Linked DNA regions of Caenorhabditis elegans. The protein of the gene in region 1 purifies or fractionates together with the protein of each later gene. This does not show direct contact. Each region holds a gene or a part of one and is shown on either strand. Other genes may lie near its edges.

Region 1 (3,244 bases):
AATCCAGCGATTTTAAGCCTAAAATACGATACTTGATCTTACCACGGCAATTTTTTGTTACATGCGAAAATATGTGCGCCTTTATAAAGAGTGGGGGTTCACGGTTGGAAAACCGTGAGATATACAATGCGCCCAATATGGGAGTCAATTTCAGAAAATGAACGTTTTTTTTCATGTTAAAAAAAAACTTGTTTTGATCTTAAATAAATTTATTTTTAATTTATCAATTAAAGAATAAGAAAGAAAAAGAAGAAGAGGAAAAAGAAAGAAGTTCGTGGGGGTTATTTTGCTCAAAAAAAACTTACAATAAACCCAAACCACCAATTTTCGAAAAAATATTCAAATTTTTCTTAAAAATTGAAAGCAGCGAATCTATAAAGCTGTTCATTCCAAAATGATAACTCAACTTACTGAAAAAAGAATTGAAACAATAAATCTCATACAGTATACTTGTGTAACTTATAAGTAGAAAAATATATAAACGCTCCACATACTGGACAAACTCTGATTAAATATGATGGAGGCCCAGTGTAGTATGAAGTAACATGCAATTTCGAATCTGCCAGAATCAAAAACAAAAACGCTTTCTTCAAAACTTTCATTCAAATACAATTTCAGTCATTTAAAGAGTTCCATTGGTTCTTTTGGGAACGCACATGTCGTCAATTGGATATTCACTTGGGCATTTGGTTCCTGGTTCTCCGTACACAAAATGATTGTCTTTGAATGTTTCCCTGAAATAATAAAAAAAGATGATTCTGGTATCTGGAGTCACTCACCAAGGACCGAGGAGAACTATATCTTTTCTTTCACCACCACAGTGATTCTTAATAAACGCAATTTTCGTTTGAGCCGGATTGAAATAATACCATTCTGCTACCTAAAAATGGAGTTATAATATTGGAAACTGTAGCTGAAGTTTACCAATTTTAATTTAGTCGCCTCACTCATAGTAGCAAATGGTTGTCCTTTGCTATGGAACTTTTTCAACAATTGATCAGCCTTTAGACCTGCCCCATCAGACATAGAGTTCCATAAATTCTTCCAATCCTGACATGTCATATGCAATGCCTTTGTTTCGAGGTCTTTATCGAAAACCTGCTCGAACAATAACTATATATATATTTATAAATGCTTTTTTCGAACTAACTCATCATCCAATGCATATTGGCAATGCTTCGGTCATGAGCTATTCATCCACGCCACAGGTTGAAAAACTGGATAATTTCTTTCTGTGCCCTCACAACACAGAATCATCAGTGAGAAACGACTTTCCACAATGGGAACAGTAGAAATGCAATGGGCTGAAACTTGATGATGAACACAAGCGGAGATTGAATACAAATACCACAGAGGATGACAAGAAGTCCGATGGCAATCTTGGCGATGGGAGACATCAGAGAGATGTTGGTGAACATTGTTCGATTGAATAATATTTTAATTACTCTTTCCCCCTGTTTATATATCAAATATTCAAAGATCTTATCTTTTTGAACTGCAAAAGGTCACGTTTTGAATTTTCAAATTGATTTCACCGCAGCATCTTTTAAATTGAAAAACTTGGAAAAATATTAGATAAATTTTTTACGTGTACGAGGTATGAAGTAGACAGATGTAGGCACGAGGTGGGTGTGCGTATCCCTGCCTACTTTCTGGCTACTATGACTATTGTCACCATACCAGCCTAACTCACGCCTTAATACGTCAACTGGCTGCCTACATGCCTACATCATGGCTATTCCTGCCTACTGCGTGCTAGTTGCCCACCTCCATGTTTTTGTATCGGCCTACTCGCCTACCTATGTATTCCGTTGGCATCCCTCACGCCTGTCTGCCTAAAACACCCACACTGTGCCTTTTTATGCTAACTTCCAGAATATCTGAAATTATTTCTATTCATACCTACTGCCGGCCTACCTGCCTACTTGTTACCAGCCTACATCTACATATGCCTTCTGGGCAAACACTCATTTACTAGCGTGCTGATTTACTTGAACGCTCAATCCCTTACGATGGCTCAATCCCTTTGACGCTCATTTACGAATGTTTTCACTTTTGCTCGTTTACAAATGAATGGCTCATTTACTTTCAAATTTCATTTTGAACACTTTTAATCATTTGCATCTACTATGTACTCAGTCAATTCTAATTCCTAGTAAAAATAAAACAATTTTGTAAGTGATGTGAATTGTTTAAATTATCAAAATAAACAGTAAGCTCCTCTCATTGGCGGCAGGTGGGAATTTAACAACCAGTTGTTGGACAAATGCAGAGGACAATGGTTTGAATCCTCTTCGTGTAAACTTGGTACGTCCAATTTTGTGCTGGGAAACAATCATCGAGACAGATGTTTGTTACTTACTGCCCTTTTTTGTTATGTACCACTTTTTTCTATCGAGTTGTCTGTGTCTCTAGCACTGTCTCTCTCTCTCTATATCTCTCTCTATATGCTCAGGGCGCATTGAGGACACACCGCGTCTCCTTCGTCCACCCGGACACTTAAACATTGTTATTCATTCATTTTTCCCCTTCTTGTGAGAGTGACGTCCTCACCGGGACGCTTCTTGATTCTTCAATTTTTTAGTTTCTTGACACTTCTTTATCAAAACAAACTTACTGAAATATCTGAAATTCATACTACAATTTATTTTATTTTACAATCTGAAGTATTCACTACTCCTATTTTTTTAGTTTGTAGAACTAAAAAGTGTTTAGTTTGAAAAAAAAAGTTTGAAGACATAAATATGTGGCTTCCAATATTTTTGACTTTAAGGGGATACATACAAAAGACAGAATTTTGGTCTCAAAACTTATCAAACCTTATAAAAAAATTTCTAGTTCGGAAAAACGTGTTTCTCTAATTCGAGTAAATAACCGGAAGGCATTTTTCAATTTCATGAATTTAAACAAAAGCCATTTTGCTCCACATTTTTTCTGATTTGCAGCAGTGGGTGCGGTGAGCCGCCGAAGTCTCCCAGAAATCTCTGAAAAACTAGACGTATGCTCGTTTTAAAACTACATACGTTTTAAGGAGGTTTCCGATAGCTTTGGAAACATTATGAAAACTGGTAAAACCTGTTTAGATAATTCAGAAAATTTTGAATGCTCAAGTTTTATCAAAATATTTCAAAGTTTCTAGTCTTATCGAAAAATTGTTAATTTTCGAAACTAGATTTTCCCTAAGTGTGCGATAGTTTTCCCTTGCTCTATCTTAGTCGGTAATCTCTGTATTTCTGCGCACCTT
Region 2 (4,206 bases), on another chromosome or scaffold:
ATAGTTGTAGACCATAGGCAGGGTGATGCAGAGCTGTAAGAAGGGAACTTACAGAAAATTCTATATATTTAATTCGAGATTTCTAAGATCCTTACCGAGAAAACCGCTACCACTGAGAAGGTGACAGCCGAGTAGGCAACGAAGCGATAGGCATTTCTTCTAGTAATTTCGTCCATGATGATCAGAAGATGCCATTCCACCAGTTTCAAACCTCCTTTTATACCATCTGTTTACAACCACAACACCTCCCCAAAAGGAGGAAGAGGAAGTTTTGTGATTGAGTCCTTGACAATTTCCCACCGACACCACACGTCGTAATTGAAAGAACTGAACGAATATCATCTGGTTCTTGTGATAATGGGACGGGAGGTAATAACTTCCTAGTTGTGGCGCTTCCTCTGGGAACGGCCTGCCGGAGAAAAAAGACAGAAAAGTTGCGAAATTTTCGCGACCTTGAGGTTTTACTTTCTTTGACGAATTCAATTAACAACTTCAAATTTCAAATCATTCTTTATCACAGACAATAAATTAAATCAACCGGTGGCACATCAATTTTTGCATACAAAAAAAGCAATCAATAATTCGGACAAATCGTCTTGTCATTCTCGCTGACCGGCTTCGCCTCCTTGAGCAGGTACTCGTCATACAAACCGTCGCGAGTAATCTCTTCTGGCGCACGGTTTCCGTATTTTTTCATGAATTCAACAACTTTCTTCTCGTCGACCGAGTTCATTTCCAGCCGTGATCCCCATCCGACAAGGGCCAGTGGCTGAAAATAGGAGTTTAGGCTTGAGATTGGGCTTAGGCTTAGGCTTAGGTATAGGCTTAGGCTTAGTCTTAGGCCTAGGTTTAGGCTTAGGCTTTGGCTTAGGCTAAGGCTTAGGCTCAGGCTTAGGTCTAGGTTTAGGCTTAGGCTCAGGCTGAATCTTAGGCTTAGGTATAGGCTTAGGCTTAGTCTTAGGCCTAGGTTTAGGCTTAGGCTTTGGCTTAGGCTAAGGCTTAGGCTCAGGCTTAGGTCTAGGTTTAGGCTTAGGCTCAGGCTGAATCTTAGGCTTAGGTATAGGCTTAGGCTTAGTCTTAGGCCTAGGTTTAGGCTTAGGCTTTGGCTTAGGCTAAGGCTTAGGCTCAGGCTTAGGCCTAGGTTTAGGCTTAGGCTCAGGCTGAGGCTTAGGCTCAGGCTGAGGCTTAGGCTCAGGCTGAGGCTTAGGCTTTAAAAAAATTGTTTCCAAAAACTTATTTTTAGTTGGCATACTGAAAAAAAATTGAATTTTTTTGTAGTTTTTTTGTCTTTTTTTTTTTGGTTTTTTTGGAGAAATTAGAATTTTTGCTTTTCGTTTTTTGGTCAAAATTTTTTGCAACAGCCCTGTTAGGCTTGGGCTTAGGCTTAGGCTTAGGCTTAAAAAATTGTTCTTTTAAAATTGTTCGTTTTTAGCTGGTATGATAAAAAAAAGTCGATTTTTTTTGTCATTTTTTGGTTTTTTTTTTTGGGAGAACTTTGACTTTTTTGGTCGAAATTTTTTTGCAACAGCCCTGTTTGGGTTACATTAGGTTTTGGCTCGGGTTTAGGCTTAGTCTCAGGCTTAGACTTAAAACATACCCTCTCTGCCGTAAGCTTGATATACGGCGTAATAACGTGACGATAGATACATGACGTCACCAGCTGCCTCAACTTGTTCAGCTCGTCCAAGTCGACACACGGATGGTACAGGAGCACAATTGAGCCGTGCTCCAAGTTATGAAGCCACCGCTGAACAGGTACGTACAGGTATTCGCCGAAGCGGGCCCAGTTTGGACGGTGGTCTCCTCTGAAAAATTGCTTTGTGATTAGTCAGGCAATGATGAGCGCCCGACATCTCTCGGGGAACCACATGACCTGTAGGATGTCGGGCGCTTCCTTTTGTGAGAAGAGATACGTCCAACTGAATAATGTTAGCAACCGACATCCCCGGGGTTTCGGCATAAAAACGAAACTCGCTAGATGTCGGGCATTAACATCGAGAGGATATTGTCCAGATTAGCGTCCGACATCTCCCGGGTCTCCCTATGAACCTACCGAATAGGAATTCGATCCTCATAATCAATCGTCTCATCCATACATCTATGCATCACCTGATCCTTTTTCGGGTCGTAAGAGCTATTTTGCTGTACCATGTCGAAAAACTCAGAATCGATATCCTTCTGCACGGCATAATGAATAGAATTCAGACATGTAAATGCGCTGAAATCCTTAGAATCCCAATCCTTGATGAGATTGGTTATTCCGTCGTCGCAAGTTGTCAGCTTACCCATTACTGCGCCCATGTATCCAAAGGTGATGTGGGGTAGAATGGAGAGGATTATGAGGAGCCTCATCTGGAAATAATTGTTATCTAAGAGAATGTAGGAAAAAAATTGAATTTTGGCAATATTTTATTAATGTATAATTTTTAAATAGCAATAATGCTCGAAAAGCCCAAAAAGTTAGAGTTTGTAGCTTTAAAGGGCTGTAAGTCTGTAGGTAAAACATATATCAAAAAGTTGTCAACTAGTAAAGTGTAGGAAATTAAATTTGCAATATTTTGATAGTTGATCATTTTTAAATAACAACACTGATTGGGGAGATAGGAGGGTTTGAAGTTTTAATTAGGGGCTACTTTCAATAGAGTGTGTGGCTTTAAAGTGCCATAAGTCTGTAGGTAAAACAGATATCAAAAAGTTGTCAACTAGCAAAGTGTAGGAAATTAAAATTTCTATACTTTACTAGTTACCAATTTTTTAATAGCAACACTGATTGGGGAAATAGTAGGGCTTAAAGATTTAATATGAATGTCTGGAGGGTGGGTGCGTTCAGTAAAGTGTGTAGCTTTAAAGATCCATAACTCTGTACGTAAAACAGGTATCAAAAAGTTGTCAATTAGTAAAGTGTAGGAAATTAAATTTGCAATATTTTAATAGTTGATCATTTTTAAATAGCAACACTGATTGGGAAGATAGGAGCGTTTGAAGATTTAATATGGCCTGCGTTTAGTAGAGTGTGTGGCTTTAAAGTACCATAACTCCGCAAATAGAAAAGATATCAAAAAGGTATCAACTAATAAAATGTAGAAAATTAAATTTTCTACACTTTAATAGTTAACAACTTTTTAATAGAATCAAAAGTCAAGGAGATATTGAAGTTTCAAAGGGGCACAAAAAATAAAATAAAATGGAAAACTGAATGCTATTTGTTGTCGGGAATCTATATAAAACTTACAAATTTCGAGTTTTCTCACTAAATATTTAAGAAAAAAAAATTTAACTCTTCAAATTCCAGAAAATAGCATATTTTTATTTTTAAATTGAATTTTTTGGAATTTTTTTTTCTAATATTTTTTTTTGTTTAAAAAATTAATCTCGCAATATTACTGCCACGTCGTCCAAAAAAAATTGCCAAATGACTGATAAAAAGTGCTTATAAAATCACAAAATTTATGCAAAATGAAACAATTTAAATTTTAAATTAGGAAAAATGCATAATTTGAGAAATTATAATAACTTTCCTGTTGTGAAAATACCGCTAAAAATGAAAAATGCAAGAAAATCGATAATTTTACCCTCCAACCCGATTGGGGGGAAGAAGGAGGCAAAATGACTTTTCTCCGCTCGTGTGTTTCTCGTGTGTTCCGCGCGGAATTTGACATAAACAAATATTGGAAAAGGAACAACGGCAGTTCAGAAACCTTTTTTGGAAATTTGGAAAAATATATTTTTTAAATTTTTTCTCAAAATTTAAAAAAGTATATAAATGTTTTTTGAAATTAAAAAAAATTTGAATTTTCCACTGTTTTTTACACGGATTTCTGGCTTCCCTCATGAATTGAAATGGAAGAGTTTGCCGAACTAGACCATTTTGGCTCGGCCATTTCTGGGGTAGATTTACGGCGCGTTGCGTGTCGCGCCGCGGCTCGATTGTAAAACTAAATATATTTGTCCGTGTGGAGTACACGACTTTCCCACGCGTTGTCCGGCAGGCGATTGTCAATGGAGCGCGAAAAGTTCAATGAGGGAGGCAAGAACCCCGTGAAAAATTGGAATTTCCGGATAAAAATTTGAAATTGGGCCCGTTTTGTTGGTGTCCAGGAGGGCGCGATTGCATCTTTTATTTTAAATTTGATCCTAAAATTCTAACGAAATTTCGCAAGAAAAAAAAATCTCAAAAATTCAAATTTCCCGCGATAAATTTTTTGA

What was found. Proteins that work in one complex are often made in the same cells at the same time.
Region 2: the proteins of B0041.1 (region 1) and Y41C4A.8 fractionate together in Caenorhabditis elegans (co-fractionation; one large-scale study listed by BioGRID). This does not show direct contact.

The regions. Positions count from the first base shown.
Region 1 is NC_003279.8:4,662,689-4,665,932, reverse strand, and holds B0041.1 (SCP domain-containing protein), read right to left. Parts: upstream 1,426-3,244; 5' UTR 1,349-1,425; intron 1,305-1,348; 5' UTR 1,151-1,304; intron 1,099-1,150; 5' UTR 1,063-1,098; coding exon 925-1,062; intron 881-924; coding exon 780-880; intron 735-779; coding exon 623-734; 3' UTR 585-622; downstream 1-584.
Region 2 is NC_003281.10:11,706,469-11,710,674, forward strand, and holds Y41C4A.8 (DUF3105 domain-containing protein), read right to left. Parts: upstream 2,355-4,206; 5' UTR 2,353-2,354; coding exon 2,054-2,352; intron 1,806-2,053; coding exon 1,598-1,805; intron 770-1,597; coding exon 575-769; 3' UTR 501-574; downstream 1-500. Other genes in the region: col-96 (Nematode cuticle collagen N-terminal domain-containing protein), read right to left, coding at 1-33, 96-176.